Caenorhabditis elegans: one gene and its partners. The protein of the gene in region 1 binds, or shares a complex with, the protein of each later gene. Each region holds a gene or a part of one and is shown in the gene's direction. Other genes may lie near its edges.

Region 1 (8,996 bases):
CAACGCATTGATAGGAAGCATCAGATTGAAGGTAGAGTTGAGCCAGGCACATCTGCTCACTTCGATAGATGCCCGGTTGTGGTGGCTCCTCGCCGGGAGTCACGTAATCACCCATTCTAGTTGATTCTGTAAGAATTTCCATGAAATAATATGAAGATTTCAAAAATAAGAAGGAAAAAAAAATCAAAAACGCTTCTTTCGAGAGAAAACATTTAAGAAAAGCACGAGGCTAGGAGCGAAGGCCTCAGGACCGAAGACCAGATATTGACGGAGAGGGATCGATACGGAGCAGCACTGAGCAAGAAGAGAGCATGCGCTCAAACGTGCTCCATTGGAATATCATGAAAAAAGGGAGAGAAATCTAGAAAAAACTAAAGAAACAATTTGCGCAATCTAATCGATCAGCCGACACGTCATCGACATTAGAGCGTAATTCTCCAGGATCTAATAGCTAGACGCAGAGAAATAAACTTTCAGATGGCGAATAAGAAAACCTAAAGGAGATGAGGAAGAAATGAACAGGACAGGTTTTAAAAGAAAGAAAATGTCTGATTGTCTGCCTCATTCACCGCAATGTTTGAACACTGAAACCATTTGTAAGCAGTGTTATAGGATGGAGAAACGTAAACATTGGGCGACTCACATTTCGTGGATATTATGAAATTCAATCGATTCGATCAAAAGGTTGAGAGAAATGAAATAATTGTAGAGCAGTGGGGGAGATTGAGTGGTGATAACGCGAAAAAACGATAAGATTACGCTGCGAGAGGTCAACTTTGCACAAAAACTTCAATTTTGATGCGGAAATTGTATTAAATTTAAGAGAATTGTTTCTTTGCAAAAAGATTTTATAAATAGTGTTTCAAAGTAACATCAAACCATAGAATCCAGATCCAGAACGAAAAACGCTGACTAAAAACACTAAAGAAGAATATTGCTTTGAAGAAAAAACCTGTGAGATGTTTTCGGAACAAAGATGAGTGATTGAAGACGAAATATTTTTAATGAAAAGTTTATTCTACAATTTTAAAACTTTGCGGCCAAAATAAATTTTGGTAAACACTTAGTAGGAATGAACAATTTTATAATGTTTCTTGCCAATAAGGAGAGAAATGAATCATGAGAATGGAAAGAGAAGAACAATATAAACAAAATAATTCGTTTTAAATGCGGAAAGGAAGAAAAAAACATGTTTCACCGCATGATCTTGTGTAAAACCATGTTTAAAATTTAATGATAACCCAGGAAAGATGGAAAATCAATACAAATAAGAAATAAAACAAATAAAAAAAAAAAAAAAACTTTCACGAGAAAATCCAAAAACGGAATGTCACGACGTTCGACTGTCAAACAGCAGCTCTCCCTTTTTTCCGTTTCCCACCACATTCACTTCTCTCAGCTGTGTTCTGTTTTCCAACAGACAGCGCTCCACCGTACCTCGCTACACTGCCGCAGGGCAATCGCGTCGAGACCATCACGCTGTTTGAAATCGGCTGTTGGTTGGGGAAAAGAACCGCCATTTCAAAGTTTTTTTCGCGCGCGCGCGTCCGCATTCTTTCATTGATTTTTGTCTCGTGGTCTGAAATTATTCAAAAATTTGTTATTTTTCAGATAAAAATGTCGTCTGCGGTGAGAAGTCCGCGGAAAAAGGCAGCAAGTGACACGTCTGATCCTGTAAGTTATTGGAAATATTGATTTTATTGGGTTTTCGTGTTTTTAAAAATAAAGAAGTTGTAAATTAAAGAAAGATATTGAAAGTATGCATGACATTCGGTATTTTCAGGATCGCACCAGCTCACCATACAGTCTCCGTGAAACATCTAAAGTTCCATCGAGATATCGTAATGAAGAACTATACCTATCACCGTCTCGCAGTATCAAACGTACCGGATCTCCCAAAAAGTAACAAGCTGTTCCGAAAAAGTGGCCGACTAATCTTATGATTTTACAGATCTCCCGCGAAACGCCTGAATGGAGGTAGAGATTCTCCTTCAGTGAACTCATTGACCCGAAACTCAAGTCTAACAATGCTCGCAAAGGCAGCTCTTGATTATGAATCTTCCAGTTGTGCTTTGGAATATATTGTAAGTTTTAAAACAATTGTATTGTTGTCATGTCTCCAAGTTCCAGCCAAAAGAAGAACGACGCCCTCCACGCAGAGCTCTTGCTCTGTCTCCGCCTCCAGCACCAAGTAATGATCTTCTCGCAAAGGATCTGGAGATGATTGAGATGCATCAAAACCTTGTAGCAGGTCTTGATGATTTAGATAATCCTGCGAATATGACAAATGAAGCTGTAGAACATCGAGATACACAGTCATTCTTCAACATGTTCAGTACAGATCAAGAACGAAGTGCCATGATGAAACAATTCAAAACGTATAAAAATCAAACAAGTGAAGATGTGAGCACATTTATGAGAGCTAATATAAAGAAACTCTACAATTTGCTCCGATATAAGAAAGCTCGTCAATGGGTCATGTGCGAGTTCTTCTATTCTGCAATCGACGAACAAATTTTCAAAGAAGAAAACGAGTTTGCCACAATTATCCGCGAATCTTTCCCAAATCTGAAAAATTGGAATTTAACGCGTATTGAGTGGCGGTCGATTCGAAAACTTCTCGGAAAGCCACGTAGATGCTCGAAAGTGTTTTTTGAAGAAGAAAGAATGTACCTGGAAGAGAAAAGAATGAAGATTCGAAGTGTCTATGAAGGAAGTTATCTTAACGTAAGGCTGAAGAGGTGTATCATTTTCAATAAATGTTCTTTCAGGATCCATCGATTGATCTAAAAGATCTTCCAGCCAAGCTTCCACGTCCAATGGTGGTTGGAAATCGTGTATTTGCGAGAATTCGAAATCCCTACGATGGAATTTATTCTGGAATTATTGATGCTGTCATTCCGAAAGGATTCAGAATTATTTTTGACAAGGTTTGTAAAAGGAGACTCAATATCACCCAAAACGCCCGAATTTTGTAACGAGATGTCTTAAAATTTCGCCACAAACCTATTTTCAGCTAAATTCGTGAACTTCGCCAACTTGTCCATTTTGTACATGCTGGAATGCAATTCTTATTGCATTTTCAACAGTTATTGCATATTTTAGTGGTTTATTTCGCTTTAATTCTATGATTTAGGATCACTTTAAGTCGATAGACACCAAAAATATCAAAGTAGGATTCTTATCGACTTAAAATGTGCTCAAATCATCGAATTACTACCAAAATATGCAATAAAAAGTGTTAGGAGAAATTGACAAAATTTAATGATTTAGCTGAAAATAGGAAGTCTTTGGAAATTAAGACGTCCTATTACTATATTCGGTAGTTTTGGATCATAAATTATTTTGTTTTAGGGAAATTTGAATATTTGAAATTCTATAAATTCCAATGTTTTATTCTTTCAGCCAGATATCCCACCAACACTGGTTAGTGACACGGAAATACTTCTCGACGGAAAACTTGATTTGTTGAGTATCGCCTACTTCATTGAACAAGCCAACTCTAAGCTTCCATCAGGCGTTCGTCCATTTGTAGCAGCAGTTCGTGACTCATCACATCCACATCTTGTTCGTGACGTCCTGGTTTCTCGAAAAATCGAGAGAAGTGGTGGACCATTAATGGGACCGAACGACGAACGATTAAATGGAAAAAATGCAGAAATGGTTGGAAATTTCCCGCTGAAATTCCTTGTGAATCTTGTGAAACTGACGAAATTAATTGATATCAAAAAGGGATTGATACGACAATTGAACGAATTGAATGCGGATGCCGAGATACAAAATATGACGTCAGACAAATATTCGAAAGCTTTTCAGGTACATTTTTAATTAGAAATTTTTTTTGATATATGAAAAAGTCAACTAGATAGAATCTAAAAAACAATTTTTTTTCAGGAGAAATACGCCAAAACTATCATCGATCTGGAACATGTGAATCAGAATATAGATATCAATATGAATGGAATTCAAGATCACCATATGTATTTCTCTTCGAATGATGTAATTTTTCATTTCCTGATTCTTCGAAAGATCTATTTGTTTGCAGATTTCAACGTCAAATATGAAACCTGAAGCAGTTAGACAAATGTGCTCTCAACAAGCTGGAAGATTTGTAGAGCACTGTAATCAAGGATTAAATGTAGAGAATGTGCATGCGTTGACACTTATTCAATCATTGACAGCTGTCCTTTTACAGGTTTGTGGCACTATAGACTGCAGAATAATAATTTATTAATGAAAAAAAAAATTGAAAATGTAAAAATTCATTAGAAAATAAACTTCGGTTTTTACCAAATCCTCTTTCCTAATTTCATTATGGGACGATGCAAGTGAATTTCTCGTCATTTCTCGACACATTTTTTGCAATGCAAGTGTGCGGAGAAATGACGAGAAATGTCGTGAAATTCGCAATTTCTACGCGTTTCTCGACATATGAGATGTGTCCTCGCAGGGTGGTAAGACATTTCACCCTGTTAAAAGTGCGGTGAGTAGGCGGAGTTTCCTGCGGGGACACATGTTTCTGCGTATCTCACCGTTCATCATATGTCGAGAAATGCGGAGAAATTGCAAATTTCACGACATTTCTCGTCATTTCTCCGCGCACTTGCATTGCAAAAAATGTGTCGAGAAATTACGAGAAATTCACCACGTGTTTTCAGCTCGACCATTCGGTGTAATTTGTGCAAACACCGTCACGCGCTGCGGTGAAATTCCTCTTGGCGAATTCAAATATTTTTTCCCGCCTTTTTTGAAAATTTTCGAGGCGTTGGTCGAGCTGAATACACGTGTTCACTTGCATCGTCCCATTAGAATTAATTACAAATTACTATTTTACAAAAAAAAAACTAAAATTGTTTCCTAGAATTCAAAATTACCTGGTCATCGGTAAAACACTATTAAAAAATTTTTTTACTGCAGAAAAATATTAGAAAAAATATTATATTTTTCCAGGTTCGCACAATGGGAACTCAAAAGATCTCTGCAGTTGATCTTCAATCACTTGGTGACGCCATATCTGAAATTCGGACCGCTATTCACCCCCGCAACGTGGCATTCTTCCAAGACTACGTTGAAGTTCATATGAAACAATTTCACACAATTATGCTCGAAAGTGGAGCACTAGCTGGAACTGTATCGAACAGAAAATAACTAAAAGCGTCTCATTTTGTCCAAAAAAACGCCAACCGGTCCCGTCAGTTTTTGTTTTTCTGAATATTCTCAGTTCTCTCATCTCTGCTCTCTCTCTCTCCCCACCTTCTTCAATCACTTTGTGTCTTTTCAAAATTGTACCCGATCATGAGACACATCCCCATTTTTCTTATTTTTTAAAAGTAGTTCAACCTTGATAATTCGAATGTGCCAAAATTCTATTTTCTTCCTCATTGTCATCATCATCATCATCAGTTTTCGAGAAAAACGAGCCAAATAACGAAACCCTTGTCAGTTATACTCCACTATTTTTTATTTTACTGACTGTCTAGAAAATAAATAAAATTTTAAAGTTTCAGGTGAATTTTCATTTTATTATGTTTGCCAGCGGTGAGAAGATATTAGCCCGGACACAAAAGTGAGCGCTAAAAGTACGGTAACTGGTCACGACAAATGTCTGTTAAATACAAACGGATGTGCGCCTTCAAAGATTACTGTAGTTTTAAACTGTCTTTGCTGCGTAATTTTGATCAATTTTTATAGTGTGTTGCGCGCCTTGCTTCGTATTTGAATTCCATTCGCATTTTTTGCTGTTTTGCTGCTAATTTCTTTATTAAATTTATCACGAATGCGTTATTTCGGAGCTTCGTTGTTTCGTTTGAAAGTAAAAATAAAAATAGGAGGAATCGTGGCGAGACCCGCTCCCTACGAAATCTCATGTCCCTTTAACTTTTTGCGCCAAAAAACGAATTTCAATTTTTTTAAAAGTCATTTTTAGCTTTTTTTCTTAATTTTCTTATTTTTTAACAAAAATTTCACTGAAAACCGACAAAAATACATTTAAAACTGTTTAAAAAATTTGAAAAAATAGTTAAAATTTAAAAAATTTCTGTTAATCTTTTATGAAATTTTTGAATGTTTCAAGTACATTGATATCATTCTTATATTTAGCTGCAAAAATTAACAAAAAATCTATTTGCTTCTCTCCGTATTTCTCCATTTCTCTGGTATTGCTCCAAAATCAATTTGATTATTTTTTCAAATACAATAAATACTTTTTTCAGCATGGTAGATCAGTTGGAAGCCTCTATCGAGAATATTCTCGAACAAAAAACGCTAAAACGGATTTTTGTAGCCTGAAAAGGTGTCGGAAAGACGACAGGCAGTTGCTCATTAGCAACGCAACTCTCAAAAGTCCGTGAGAGTGTTCTAATCGTGTCCACCGATACCGCCCACAAAATCTCGGATGCCTTCAGCCAGGAATTCACTAAATTTCCAACACTGGTCGAAGGATTCAAAAATCTCTTTGTGATGGAAATCGATTCAAAACCAGATGGAGAAGACGTCGAAGTGGAGAATATGGAAGAAATGTTGCATAATGTCTGCAGTTCTAAGCTCAAGGACTTGGCGGCACTAAACCATCATCGATTGAAGTATCATATGACACCACAGGAATGCCTGATGTGCCAAATTGTGATGACTCGAGCCGATGATGTGAGGAAGCACATGAGAAATGTGCATCACATCACTCAACCGACGGTGTGCTCGTGTTGCCATCATACCTATCTTTCGTTGAAATCCGTTCATGCACATAGAAACTCTATAAAATAAGGAACAATGGATTCTGAGATACCGATCGCAAAATCGACAAATGCCCGCTTCTGTTTTCTGGCACCGCCTGCCAAAGCTGTTGTGCAAATTAGAGGAACGCCTCAACGAACACCTTCACCACACGTGGAAGAGCCGAAAACTCCTGTCCTGCGACTTTTGAGAAGCTCGCAGAGAAATAAACATCAAAAGTTCCATGTACATTAAATAGAATTTTTTTTTACTTAAATTTTCATCTTTTGTTTTGAACTTTATGCTTGTAACACTATTATACTACTAGTCAATACTAGTTCGCCAAACTTTCCCATCACTTTTTAACTCTGTTACATAATACTTTTGCTTCAATGAAACGGGGAAATGATTTTATTTTTCACATTTTATTCGTGTTCCAATGGTTTTCTATTTCCTTCTTTTTCTTCTTTACTGTTTTTCAAAAAATATTTTCCAGATGAAATGTGGATTTTTTGTTCTCAAAAAAGTGCAATACGCGACGTTATTGTTGTCATGTCTTCAAGTTTCAGCCAAAAGAAGAACGACGCCCTCCACGCAGAGCTCTTGCTCTGTCTCCGCCTCCAGCACCAAGTAATGATCTTCTTGCAAAGAATCTGGAGATGATTGAGATGCATCAAAATGGCCTTCATTCCGAGGGGACAAACTTTTAGGGTGGCAAGGTATTTTTGGGGACAAAGTATCCAAAGTGACATGGTATCCAGTCGACAAAGTGCCATTTGTCTCTGACCGGGCGTATCTTCGGTGACAAACTTTTTCAACTAGTTTTTTATATATATTTCTCAATCGATTTTTGTTTTTTTTTCACTGGAATAAGTTTTTAAATGCAATTTTCCATGGATTTTCGGCCTTGACTACTCACAATTGAATGTATGAACAATGATCCCTCCTGATGATCTGATTATTCAGCTTCAAAGGATCAGAAGGGTACCTCCTGGTGATCTGATCCTTCAGCTCCGAAGGATCAGAAGGGTACCTCCTGGTGATCTGTTCCTTCAGCTTCAAAGGATCAGATGGGTACCTCCTGATGATCTGATCCTTCAGCTTCAAAGGATCATAAGGGGTATAAAAGCAATAAATCAAGCATAGTTGATCAATTCTCCGTGATAACAAACTTTTGGGTGACAAAGTATCTTAGCGGACAAACAAAAATTACCGGAAACTGATATATTCCAAATATATTTCAAATATATTCCAAATATATTCCAAATATATTCCAAATCTATTCCAAATATATTCCAAATCTATTCCAAATGTATTCCAAATATATTTCAAATATATTCCAAATATATTCCAAATATATTCTGACGTCCTTTTGGCACGCATCATATTTTCGATCGTGAAAGTTTTGAAACGGTTTTATTTTACAAGTTTATAATTTTGGAAACAGAAAATATATTTATATAAGTTTTAACAGCTGCGGTGTGTGTTTCATTAACTTCCAGCTTCTGCCAAATGAATGTTTGGAATTATCCAAAGCCTTTTTTCACCATTTTTATAAAAAATCTGAACAGTGAGTACAGATTTGGTCATATCTCTGTTCCCTGGTACGATAATAACACAATTTCGCACAGAAATTGAGAAAAAGATTAGTAGAATAGGAAATATATTTGGAATATATTTGGAATAGATTTGGAATATATTTGGAATATATTTTAAATATATTTGGAATATATTTGAAATATATTTCGAATATATTTGGAATTGATTTGGAATATATTTGAACTAATATCAGATTAAGACTGAATATTTGACAACTCATGTTTATTGTATAAATTCAAATTTCAAAACTGCAGAGAATGGGATATTGCACGTGGCTATTTGGTAATTTGAATGCAGAAAAAATTCCAAGGAATATGAAGTGGACCAAGGAAAATAAATTGGAAATAGCAACTTGAACATTAGGAAACGGGGCTAAGTGAATTGAAAATGAAATCACATGAAAAATAATACGAAGGTAAAATTACTCCAAAATCATTGTATCTCCAACTGCCATCCCCTCCATGGAGGCTCCATGGCCCTCCATTCTCAGGATCCATAAGTCTGGTTAAAAACAAGCTCGTAAACTAGAGATTTTAACAAGTTGTGTGAAAATTGAATTCTCTGAATCTAGGTAAGTGTCGGATGAAGTCTAGCAGTCGGAAAAATGTACTGCTTGGTCCCATGACCTGTCGGCTGCCTAATACTAGGTACTATTTGAAAGAAATTACGTCTAAAATCTAGCTAATTAA
Region 2 (6,319 bases), on another chromosome or scaffold:
GACTTGGTGAACAAAAACTTGTTCAATTTTGCTTGCTAAAGCGGATAAATCCTTTTCTTCATTAATTAATGCTTTTCGAACTTCATTCAAACCATTTTTGAGTTCTTCTTTTATTCTTGTCAATGATAAATCAATCTCGTGTTTTGATACTGCATTGATTAGTTCGATAGTTAATGGAAGAAAGTCAAGTCCAGGAATCACATAGCGGCAGGTTGAGATTTTTCGAAAATATCTATCAAGAGCCCGGACGACAATTGAACAGTCTTTTGCATCACTTGATGATAGAAAAACTTTTGAAACCAAAGCATGCAGAGAATTCATTTCCGTCTGTAAAAAAACTTTAATTTAATCCAAATCGTTTTTAAATTAACAAACCTTCAAAACCGTAATAAGATCTTCTCGTTTATCCTCAAATAATCGATCATGAGTTGTTGCAATCAGAGTGAGATTTGGAATAAAACTCTCAGAAGCTTTATCAACGAGATCCAAAACATCCGAATGATTTGCTGATAATTCTTTCAAATCTACTCTTAAAGATTGTTCTGAACACGTGAGCAACACTTTCTGAACTTCATCTTCATCTCTTCCAATTGTTAATAATAAATCTACAGCTTCTGATACTAATTCTGCACCAGAAGCCGGATTTCGCAGTTGATCCATTAATTGATTTTCCGTCATATCATAAATTTTCTTACTTTTTTGAAGAACTAATTGAACTGTTGGAACGTCTTTATACTGCGATAGTGACTCTTCTGCTAATTTGAACATTCGAAGAACTTCTCCATAGTTTCGCTCATCGAATTCACTCTGGAAGTTGTTTAGTTTGATGCAATATGAAAAAAAAGTTTTAAAATTAAAAATGTTACCCGCAGAACATGAGGAAGATCGAAAATATGCTTCAAACTATTCACAACTTTATACGAGCTTCCCAATTGTAGAATATCGTCACGTTTTTCGCCCAAAACTCCGTCAAGATTCCCAATTAGAGTCGATATTGTCGACATACTTCGGCTGAGAGATTTCATTTCCTGAAAATTAACATTAAAATTGTCTGATTTTATTATTATTCGAAAACTAACAGAATCGAGTTGCGTGAATTCATCTTGTATTTTTCGAACCGTATTTGTCGCAGTCAGAAATTTATTGTAATTTTCGTAGACTATTTGATGTACATCTGAATCAAGCCTTCTCACAGCTGAAACCATCTCCTCCTCTTCTTTTACTAATCCATCAAGCGACTTTTCACGGAGTAATCTGAATTAATAATATTTATCAGTGCATATCTCTGAAAACTAACTTGACGACAAATGCTTCGACATCAAAATCCGGCTTTGTGACGTCCAAAACACTAGACATTTTACATTCAATACTGAAAAATTAAAGAAAATTCAGGAAAACTCGAGAATGAAAAAAAACAGATTTGAGACACCATCAATACAAAGGGAACGAAATTTGGGGGAAATGCTGGTTGCCGAAAAAATAAGTAGAAGGTAAGATGTGTTCAACTGGAACATACATTTTCTGAATTGCAAACTCGATTTCTCTCACATTCACAATTTTTAATCACATTTAATGCTTCAGTTTTAGAAAGTTCTGAAGTATCCTCTTCTTCCTATTCAGTTTCTCAAAATCGATGGTGTCTCCAGGACGTGCACAAATGCGCTCTATTGCGAATTGTGGAACATCATTGCGCGCGCGACTAGAAAAAAATGAGCGCGTTCTTGAAAATTATTTTGCTTTCTCTAATTTTAAACGATTTCGATTACATTTTATCTGAACTTTCTTGGGTTTAATCGAATAAAAAACACAAAAATATTCTTCAGACTGGTAAAAACTTCTTCAATATGCCGAAACGAGCAGCCGATGAGCCTGGAACATCAACAACTGACCCATTTCACGAGCGTAAGCTTTAAATGATTTTATTCAAAGCGTATAATTATACTTGTCTGGAAAGTGAGGCGTTATCAAAGCTAGTTTCTCCGCCGCAGTGAATAGAAAAACTGATTAATGCAATTTGCGCAGGGTTCGATTTTTTCGAAATTTTTTAAACAGCGTTCAAGATTTTACTTGCCTTTCCATCAGGGAGAGAAATTTTTTAGAACTCAGCCTCAAATTACCGCAAATAAATTTAGATATTAATTGATTTATTTTCAGAAAGCCCATTCGATGCCGTGTTAGCCGGCACGGAGACAACGGATACAATATGTGAAGAGCCACCAGCAAAACGAATCGACTTAGATATAAAGCAAGGTATGGGGTTTTATAAATATTAAATCTGATTATTTTCTCCTTTTCAAAAATATTAAACAAAAACAAGGGTTTGCAGCCTCATGTGATAATCTAAATGACTGCTTTGTTTTACATATTAAGAGCATCCTTCGTTTTTCCAATAATTTTCTCTATGAAGATAGATATTCCCCAGTTCATTATCACCTTTATCACAACTCGCTATCATCTCCTACTTATATAGGAAATTATGAAGTTATCAAGCGCTCAGTCACCTGACTAGTTAAGAGGTCACTAACAACAATAGCTACCAATCAAGCAACATTTTTATTATTGCACACAACCACGAGCAAATGTCAAAATATACATAGAAGACAGAGTGAAATCTATTGAAGAACGTCACTTCGGACTGTTATATGTCCTGGTTCAACCACGTCACTATATGCAGGCGGCCGAGAAGTTGCACGTGGTCGGGTTGGATCTTCATCATTTGTAAACGCCGAATTGTCAGCTCCTGTTGGTTCACTCTGAAATTGTTACAGAGTTTTAGTGATGTCATAGGGAAAGAATTTTAGAGCTCATTCTGGCTCGAATTTGCTGGAAATCGGAGGTTTCCCAATAATAACCATTTTTCTGATATTAGTATTACTTTTTCGACTACAAGCGCTCCGTAACAAAATTTAGCGGGTTATTTGAAGTTAATTATAATCGCATTAAGACGTATTTATCTAATGCAGCTTATAATATAGAAAGAATAGCTTAGTTTTATATTATTGATTAATGAATAGTCGTTGAAACGGATTTCATAAAGCTTCAAAAAATTTTCAAAACTCACATTGGCAACTGTCAAAATCGGTGTCGATACGAAAGAACCACTCCTCGTTGATGCCGACGTCGTCGAACTCTCGCTATCAACAGGTTGTTGTTTTGTAGGAATCGGAGGAGCAGTTTGACTTGACATTGGTGGGGCGTAGGCGGTATATCTTGGTGGTGGTGGCATACCACTGGGACTCATTGGTGTTGGTACAATGTATTGAACATTGTAATTTGACGCCTGATGTTGAGGTCTGAACCATTGAATGAATATTCATAATTGAAATAATGGACTCACAATCTGTATGCATTTCTTCTGAGGAAGTTGTAGAGAATCATCATATATCGCATTTGGACGAGTGCAACAATAATACTAACAGTTAGGAAGAAACATGAGATTATAACCATTTCTAATTCTCCAGTTGTCATTTTTGGAACACATCCCTTCGCAGTGGTTACATCCTTTTGGTTATCTTCAAATCAGTTTCTTTATTCCGGAAAATTGTATTGAAACTAACCTGGATTGCAAATGTTATCATTGTTATCCGATAAATAAATACATGCAATAACTGCTCCCAGGATCAAGAAAAACACCCAAAATGTGTACATTGACTGAAATTGATAATTATTTCTCAAAGTGTATATTAACGAGAATATTGATGCTTCCATAATTGACTAGGAACATCGAATCTTGTGAGTTATATTTAAAACGTACTAGATATAACATGTAAGCAGTGATATAGGCAATTTTTCTACGCTTTGCACCAGTTGATAGAACAAACATCATGGCGCTTCCAATAGAAATCTCGAAAACGTAGAGCACAAATGGAGATGGATACAAAAGTCCGAATATTTGACATATCATGAGAATGGATCCGAGAATTCCAACAGCTCCCTGAAAAATGTTCAATCCTTGCTGAGATTCAAAATTTCTGAACTTACACCAATTGGAAGTCCACAAAATACCCTTGGCTCCGGTTCAGCAGCTATCCGCTGTGTTGGCTGATGTGGTTCAGCCCGTTGTTGCGGGTGCTGATACGGATCCGTCGTTTGAGAAGACTCGGTTGTCATGGTTCTTCTGGAATCAATACAATTTTCTTGGCTTATATGGTTTATAAATGCATTTGTGTGTGTCTGAGTGTGCCAACAAGAGACCTCTACGAGAGAAAAGAAAAGGAGAAGCAGAGTCGGGGAGGTGACATACGACTGATATGGTCGATGTCACGACAATATGATTCTCTTTTTCTCCCCCTTTCAATTCTTCATGTGTCGGTTGAGTAAATATTGCATGAAACTGTAGAAATGAGGGCATTGGGAGATAGAGAGAGGGACGTTGAAAATAGAGAAGAGCACTAGAATCAGCTGAGAGTATGTGGAGAAATAAAGAATGATAAGAACGTTGGAAGAAACTAGAACAATTTTGGCAGCTTAGTTTCGTCGTTACTTGATTTGTCACAATTAAATATGGATAAGTTGAGAATCAAGGATGCCAAAAAATATTTTTGACAAAAAAAAACAAAAAATTTCTTGTTCAAATTTCGTACCAAAAACAAAAAAAAATTGGATTTTATTTTTCTCGCGATTTAAAGTTAAAAATTTCGAAATTTTTTTTTGGTTTTTATGATATTTATACAATTGTATTTCTATAGAAATACCGAAAAAAAATTGGTGACTTATCGAATTTGTTTTAATTGGAAAAATATAATGGATTCAATTCGTTCTTTAAAAATTATTGGAAATTACTTTAAAATTGAAAAAATTGAAATTTTTTTCATTAATTTAAAAACTGACATCCTTGGGTCAATTCATTGCCATCTGGATAAATTTCCTTTAATATTGTAAATCATTGAGTGTTTCCAGTTGTGTAGGTCTCACTATGAAGAAACTATGAAAGAGGAAAAAGAAAATATAGAAAACCCATAAAAGTGGGAAAAAAACGGAAATTCGTGTTCTCCGTCGAAAAATATCACAATTTATGGGCTTATATGTGTGCGGGACAATGAATTCAATGTAATATTATTACTATGCACATCAATAAATTCAAATATAGCTGGTATCCACTCTTTTGGGTTTTTTCTTTTCGATATGCACCTATGGGAAAAGTATCAAATTTCAAGACAAATCAGTGGTTTTGTTCACGAGAGAATTTGCCTAGTTTCAGAAGGTTTATGAAATATCAATTAGTATTAAGAGTACACAAAATTATAGGATTTTTTGTTGAAAATTTAAAATGGTGCTTCTCCGTTTAAGATATATTTAACAAAAAATCTAACAAAATTAAATTGGTAAACGTTGATATAAAAAATCAGAAAATTGGTTTGGCATTTCAGAAAATATTTCAAGATGGATCAATCGTACTTGTTAACAGTATCAATTTTAATTTAATTTAATTTTTTTTCAAAATATAATAAATATGTTTAAAAATTCATTGATAATAAAAATTAAACGTTTTTCATAAATCAAACTTCGAAACATTTTCATAAAAAGGTAGCACAAGCAATAAGAAATGTTCTTATCACAGTCAACCTAGATGACATGAAATATTAAATGATAACTGTTTTCAGAATTCAATGGTGGAGTGCAAAGTGGAGGGCTGATTAAAAATGAATCCGAATTGACTCAAATGACAATCAAACAAGAAACAGAAGGAAACATAAATGAAGCTAGACGAGAAGAAGAAGACGAAGAACAAGATGAAGATTCCAGAACATCAATGCCACCTGCATTGGGAGAAGATGATGATTATGAGGAGGATGATGCTGATAGTTTTATTGATAAAACTAATGTAATACTATGTTTCTTCTAGTTTTACAACATAATATTTAAAATTATACGGAAAATGATGCGGATAATTTTAATTTTCATCAACACTTGAAAAAGGAAGTCTAGGACTAAGATTTTCTAAAAATTATATCAATGTCAACCTGAAAAGTTAATATCATAATCAGAAAAAAGTATTTTTATTAAACGAAAAAATGAAAAAAAAACCCCCTTTTTGCCCCTGATTGCTCAAATTAAAGTATAAAAAAGAATTTTAAACTTTTCAGACACCGCCACCATCACAATCATTTCTGGAAGGATGTCGAGCAGCTAATTTACCAAATGACATTGTTACTGGTGCATGGGAAACGTACAACCACGCGGTTCAACGGGTTTCTCTTGAGGTTAATTGAGTAGTCAACGAATGCGGGGAAGGGGTTTTTTCAAAACAAACCACTACTATATAATGTAAAAACTGAATAATTCAAGTAGCACACATAGTGAACACAAGTGTGCCTAA
Region 3 (5,501 bases), on another chromosome or scaffold:
TCGAATATTATCAATAAGCTCATCTTCGTCGAGAGCCGATGGGAGATCAAGAATTGAATTACGAGCTGGATCAGATGGAGATGGAAGAGTAGACAGGGTGATAGCTGGCATTCTCTTGATGTTAAATTTCTCGTGTTCCCAAGCGCTTACTGTCGTCAAAGAGATTTTTTTCGTTACCAACTCTATATTCTTCTTTGGAGAAATGCTGCTGAAATATCTTACGAACGATTAAAATCAATAAACTTTTAAAACAGTACTTAAGTCTTCTGAGAAGTTGAGCTGCTACTGAATTTTCTGATGGTGTCTTTCCAGCATGCATGAAAAATCCTCCCGTTTTGCGACCAATTGCCTCAATACATATTGCCAAGTCAACACGATCATCTGAAAACCCTTCAAAACCGGTAAAACGACACTCTCCTTTTACTGCATTACCTTTTCTAGAAAGTCCAGATTTGGCATAATCAGCGCTGTCAAAGCCTTTCTGGTACTCATCGATCCAGTGACGAGTTCCTTGATAATTGAGCTTTCCAGCTGCTGTCCAAATGAACAAAATATTGTATGGAGGACGTGTGCTTGGAGAATCATAGAATTTTGACAGAACAGCAAGCAATTCGAGAAGTGCAACTATACCAGACCCATTGGAATCAGCGCCAGGCGAGACTCCTGGAACGGCCGATTGTGTGTCATAGTGTGCCACAAATGCAATCGTAGGTGCAGCACGATCTCCACTACTCAAGCGACCAACAATATTCAGTGGTTTGTATGAAGGTGGAAGTTCTGGACTTTGATCGGAAGAAGTGATACTGATTGTGTTTCCGGAAAGTGATTGAAGCAAATGTTGCAGGGCTGTGGGAGCTTTTTCCGAGCGAGTATTGACATCGTGAAGAATAGAAACGGCGTCATCATTGAAAGGAGCCACATAAACAGCCAAGTCGGTCTTTGCGCTCAACAACTTTGCTTCAAGATCGATGAATGCCTGAATAATGAGCATAAATAACTTTTATGGCAATATGAAATTAAATGTTCAAGCTAACCTTCCGATCAATATCGTTAAGTTCATCAAGATTGTCGGGAATGAAAATAAGCACGGCACCGGTAGAAAGTGCCCACATGTCATCGACATCTGTTGTAAGAAGATCTCGCCATGTTGTAACCATAGTTCTAGATATTAAAATATTACTATTTACAAATGAAATATCCAAAAAAACCTGCGAAGAGTTCTTGCACCCAAGGAAACAGCTTCATATGATACGCGATAATTTTTGCATCCATAAATGTTACCACTGATTTCGTATTGATGAAGACGGTACGCATGAAACTCGGTTTCTACGACTTCTCCAACTTGCTGGGACCCGTTCACCTAAATATGGAGAGTTCATCTTCTAAATCATTACCAACAACTTACTACACAAATGGTTAACATTAAAGTCATGTAGAAAAGAAGAGCCGGACTTCGGAAAAAATCGATGATTTCATCCTGCATCTGAAAAAAACATATCTTAAGCTCAAAATCACGAGAATCCTGTGCAAATTAGGATGAAAGATCTTTCGGAGTAGGAATTATTTAATAACACAAACTATCATGATTCTACAGAAATCGATAGAATTAAACCAGAATTGATGATATATAATACCCGAGTAGGGAGAAAACTGCATGAGTTTTCTGAGCGGAATTCAAATGAGCCAAACATGCTCTACCGTACCTTGCAACAGCGGTGAAGGCAAATCGTTGCGAGACCCCTCCCCGCGAAAACCGCGACGCGCACACACTTTGAAAGTGGGTTTTATCGGTCTTCTACAGTTTTGGTCACTTTCCCGCATTAAAATTCTCTGTTTTAATATATTTAAATTCAATTGAATTAATATTTTATTATTCACCCCTTCTTTGTTGTATTATTTTATCTAACTACACTGTTTGAACGATAATTATTCTTTGCAAAAATTGAAAATTTCAGGAAATGGCCACTCTTGAAGATGGAACCTCCGAAGATCGCGTCGCAAATGATGAATACAAAATTTGGAAAAAGAACACCCCGTTCTTGTACGATCTCGTAATGACACATGCGCTTGAGTGGCCTTCACTCAGTGTTCAATGGCTCCCAGACGTTGCGAAGGTATGTGTTCTCATATAATTCACAACTTTCATGAAGTGAATTCAAATAATTTAGGATAACAGCGACCATACTATTCATCGGCTCATTCTTGGAACTCATACTTCAGATGAGCAGAATCACTTGCTTATTTCTAAGATCTGTATGCCAACGGATGATGCCCAATTTGATGCATCTCGCTACGATACCGAGCGCAGTGAATACGGTGGTTTCGGAGCTGTTAACGGAAAAGTGGAACCCGATATTCGCATTAACCACGAAGGGGAGGTTAACAGAGCTCGTTACATGCCTCAAAAGTCGAATATCATTGCTACAAAGTCTCCACATGCTGATGTTTACATTTTCGACTATTTAAAGCACTCTGCTGTTCCTCGTGATAACACGTTCAATCCGCTTATCAGACTGAAAGGACACACGAAGGAAGGCTATGGATTATCATGGAATCCAAACAAAGAAGGTTTGATTCTATCAGCGTCAGATGATCAGACAGTTTGTCATTGGGATATCAACGCAAATCAGAATGTTGCCGGGGAATTGCAAGCGAAGGATGTTTTCAAAGGTCACGAGTCAGTCGTTGAAGATGTTGCTTGGCACGTTTTGCATGATGGTGTCTTCGGATCGGTTGGTGACGATAAGAAATTGTAAGCTTTTGTTTTTTTTCTATTTATTAACTAATTAAAAATTATAGGCTCATTTGGGATGTGCGCACAAGCACTCCTGGACACTGTATCGATGCTCATTCTGCCGAAGTTAACTGTCTCGCATTCAATCCATATTCCGAATTCATTCTGGCCACCGGATCAGCTGATAAAACTGTCGCTCTTTGGGATCTACGTAATCTACGAATGAAACTTCACTCATTTGAATCACATCGTGATGAAATCTTCCAAGTTCAGTGGAGTCCACACAACGAGACTATTCTTGCATCCAGCGGTACTGATAAACGTCTTCATGTGTGGGACCTATCTAAGATTGGAGAAGACCAATCTGCCGAAGACGCGGAAGATGGTCCACCAGAGCTGTTGTTTATTCACGGTGGGCACACCGCCAAGATCAGCGATTTCTCGTGGAACCCGAACGAGCCTTGGGTTGTGTGCAGTGTGTCAGAAGACAATATTCTCCAAGTGTGGCAAATGGCTGATAACATATACAACGAAGTTGACGAAGAAACTCCAGCCGATGTGGTAGAGAGACAACAGTAAAATACGTGAAACGCGCTTAAATTATTTGTATTTAACTTCTATCCTTCTTTAATTTTGCATCTCAACAAATTGTTCATCTTACCATTTATTCAAACGCATATTCTTCACCAACTAAGTTTTTAAAGTTAAAATGTTACCTTGAGATATGATCATATTTTGTTGAACCTGAAATAAATTCGATGACCATTGTCAGATAACTGTTTTGAAATATTATGTTAACGTGATTGTTGTGATAGCTCAGATTGTGATATTTTTGGTTTTTTGTTGTATCTTTTGTTATTTCAGGCAATTTCAGAGCACAATGAGTGAAGCTGAATCGTGTGAAGAAACGAGTAAAGAACATAGAATTTGGAAGAAAAATGTTCCATATCTCTACGATACAGTCGTCACAAAAGAGGTCGAGTGGCCTTCTTTATCAGTGCAATGGATGCCTGATGTCACAAAAGTAAGAATCGGTAAATATGATTTCGCCTTCTTCATTATTTTTTTAAGACAGAGAACTCGGATTCATCGATGCATCGAATGATTCATGGAACACATACTTGTGGAGGAGTTCAGAATCATCTCATGATCTCAAAGTTCACAATAACGACAGACACACCAGAATTCGACGACGCTAAATGGGATTCGGAACGTGAAGAGTTCGGAGGTTATGGAGAGGGCAGCGCTGCAAAATGGGATACTGAGATTAAAATCAACCATCCAGGAGAAGTTCATAGGGCACGTTACATGCCACATAATCCTTTCATTATTGCAAGTCGAGGTCCTTCTGATGACGTTTATATTTTCGACTACACGAAGCACCCATCTGAACCAAAAGACACCAAATTTCGACCTCAATTGCGATTGAAAGGCCATGAAGGCGAAGGATATGGAATGTCGTGGAGCAACACCAGAGAGGGACATTTGCTAACTGCCGGCGATGACGGAATGGTATTTCTAACAAAAGATATACATAAATATACATTTTTTAAGATTTGCCACTGGGATATAAACGCGAATCAGACCATTTCCGGTCAAATAGTGCCACAAAGCAAGTTTAAAGGTCATTCATCAAATGCGGAGGATGTTTCTTTTCACGCGCTCCATAATTTCGTTTTTGGATCTGTTGGAGATGATAGAAAACTGTAAGTATAAATACATCATACCATTCTGTCGAGATTTCAAAATAATTTTCACGTCTTTAGAAACCTATGGGATCTGCGTCAATCAAAGCCACAGCTCACAGCCGTCGGACATACTGCAGAAGTTAATTGTATTACTTTCAATCCGTTTTCCGAATACATTTTAGCAACCGGATCTGTTGATAAAACGGTTGCTTTGTGGGATATGAGGAATATGCGCAAAAAAATGTACACGCTGAAACATCACAACGACGAAATATTTCAAGTATCGTTCAGCCCGCATTATGAAACTGTTCTGGCTAGTAGTGGATCGGATGAGTAAGTTTTTTCCTAATAAGTTGTATTTGTTTAACCTATGAAATTTCAAAAATTTCAGTCGGGTTATCGTTTGGGATATTTCTAAAATTCAAGACCCATCGTCTTCATCAGCTGCATCATCTGATTCTGTTCCACCAGAAGTTATTTTTATTCACGCTGGGCATACTGGAAAAGTTGCAGATTTCTCTTGGAATCCCAACCGCCCATGGACTATTTGCAGCAGCGACGAATTTAATGCATTACAGGCAAGAATTATTTTCAAAAAATTAATCATAACTATTTAATGGTTTTTCAGGTGTGGGAAGTTTCAAACAGTTTAGTTTCGTCGGAAAAATGGGAGACCGAAATGATTTAATCGTCTAAATTGCACTTTGTCGAATTTTACTAATTTTCTCACTTCTGATCTTTGAATGTAAAAATCACATTCCTATCAATGAACGTTTTTTCATTTTCTTTCATATTGTGTTCATCTATTCAGAATTAATTTCTCAGGTTTTCTCTGCCACTAAATATTTACTTTGAAAAATAGTGTGTTCACAATGGGGCGCACTTGCGAAACCATGTTTAGTCGGTTTACATTGCTTATTTTCTTACGATAAGGAATATATTGATTAAACATATTTCAAGGTTATCCAGAAAGAAAATGTTGAGAAATTGGAGACTTTTGGTAAGAAGTTTTGCAACAAATTCAAGTGAGGAAATCGCTCCGAAGGTTGATGTTAGTTTGTGAGTTTTCATTTTTTGCA

Evidence for each region.
Region 2: lin-9 (region 1) and lin-35 share a complex: the UniProt entries of both Caenorhabditis elegans proteins name them as parts of the DRM complex.
Region 3: lin-9 (region 1) and lin-53 share a complex: the UniProt entries of both Caenorhabditis elegans proteins name them as parts of the DRM complex.

Annotation. Positions count from the first base shown.
Region 1 is NC_003281.10:8,896,747-8,905,742, reverse strand, and holds lin-9 (Protein lin-9), read left to right. Parts: upstream 1-1,611; 5' UTR 1,612-1,617; coding exon 1,618-1,674; intron 1,675-1,783; coding exon 1,784-1,902; intron 1,903-1,951; coding exon 1,952-2,084; intron 2,085-2,124; coding exon 2,125-2,727; intron 2,728-2,771; coding exon 2,772-2,930; intron 2,931-3,405; coding exon 3,406-3,816; intron 3,817-3,894; coding exon 3,895-3,999; intron 4,000-4,045; coding exon 4,046-4,195; intron 4,196-4,950; coding exon 4,951-5,148; 3' UTR 5,149-5,505; downstream 5,506-8,996. Other genes in the region: unc-32 (V-type proton ATPase 116 kDa subunit a 1), read right to left, coding at 1-115. UniProt on the Caenorhabditis elegans protein: Synthetic multivulva class B (synMuvB) protein. SynMuvB proteins are required to repress the induction of vulval development by Ras signaling and probably act by forming the multiprotein DRM complex that represses transcription.
Region 2 is NC_003279.8:5,805,886-5,812,204, forward strand, and holds the start of lin-35 (Retinoblastoma-like protein homolog lin-35), read left to right. Parts: upstream 1-1,823; 5' UTR 1,824-1,844; coding exon 1,845-1,902; intron 1,903-2,154; coding exon 2,155-2,250; intron 2,251-2,535; exon of another isoform or gene 2,536-2,612; coding exon of another isoform or gene 2,613-2,753; intron 2,754-3,061; coding exon of another isoform or gene 3,062-3,293; intron 3,294-3,337; coding exon of another isoform or gene 3,338-3,512; intron 3,513-3,557; coding exon of another isoform or gene 3,558-3,651; intron 3,652-3,754; coding exon of another isoform or gene 3,755-3,934; intron 3,935-3,981; coding exon of another isoform or gene 3,982-4,110; exon of another isoform or gene 4,111-4,117; intron 4,118-5,603; coding exon 5,604-5,824; intron 5,825-6,086; coding exon 6,087-6,203; intron 6,204-6,319. Other genes in the region: vps-51 (Vacuolar protein sorting-associated protein 51 homolog), read right to left, coding at 1-327, 376-807, 867-1,028, 1,080-1,254, 1,298-1,356; C32F10.4 (uncharacterized protein), read right to left, coding at 2,613-2,753, 3,062-3,293, 3,338-3,512, 3,558-3,651, 3,755-3,934, 3,982-4,110. UniProt on the Caenorhabditis elegans protein: Key regulator of cell division which acts as a transcriptional repressor and negatively regulates cell cycle progression in its active unphosphorylated form, but allows cell cycle progression when phosphorylated.
Region 3 is NC_003279.8:9,616,215-9,621,715, reverse strand, and holds lin-53 (putative histone-binding protein lin-53), read left to right. Parts: upstream 1-1,955; 5' UTR 1,956-1,958; coding exon 1,959-2,114; intron 2,115-2,168; coding exon 2,169-2,752; intron 2,753-2,799; coding exon 2,800-3,313; 3' UTR 3,314-3,505; downstream 3,506-5,501. Other genes in the region: nra-2 (Nicalin), read right to left, coding at 1-217, 258-390, 433-976, 1,035-1,161, 1,209-1,360, 1,406-1,483; putative histone-binding protein rba-1, read left to right, coding at 3,615-3,758, 3,806-4,246, 4,289-4,440, 4,501-4,755, 4,814-5,000, 5,051-5,110; K07A1.10 (Large ribosomal subunit protein mL64), read left to right, coding at 5,399-5,481. UniProt on the Caenorhabditis elegans protein: Core histone-binding subunit that may target chromatin assembly factors, chromatin remodeling factors and histone deacetylases to their histone substrates in a manner that is regulated by nucleosomal DNA.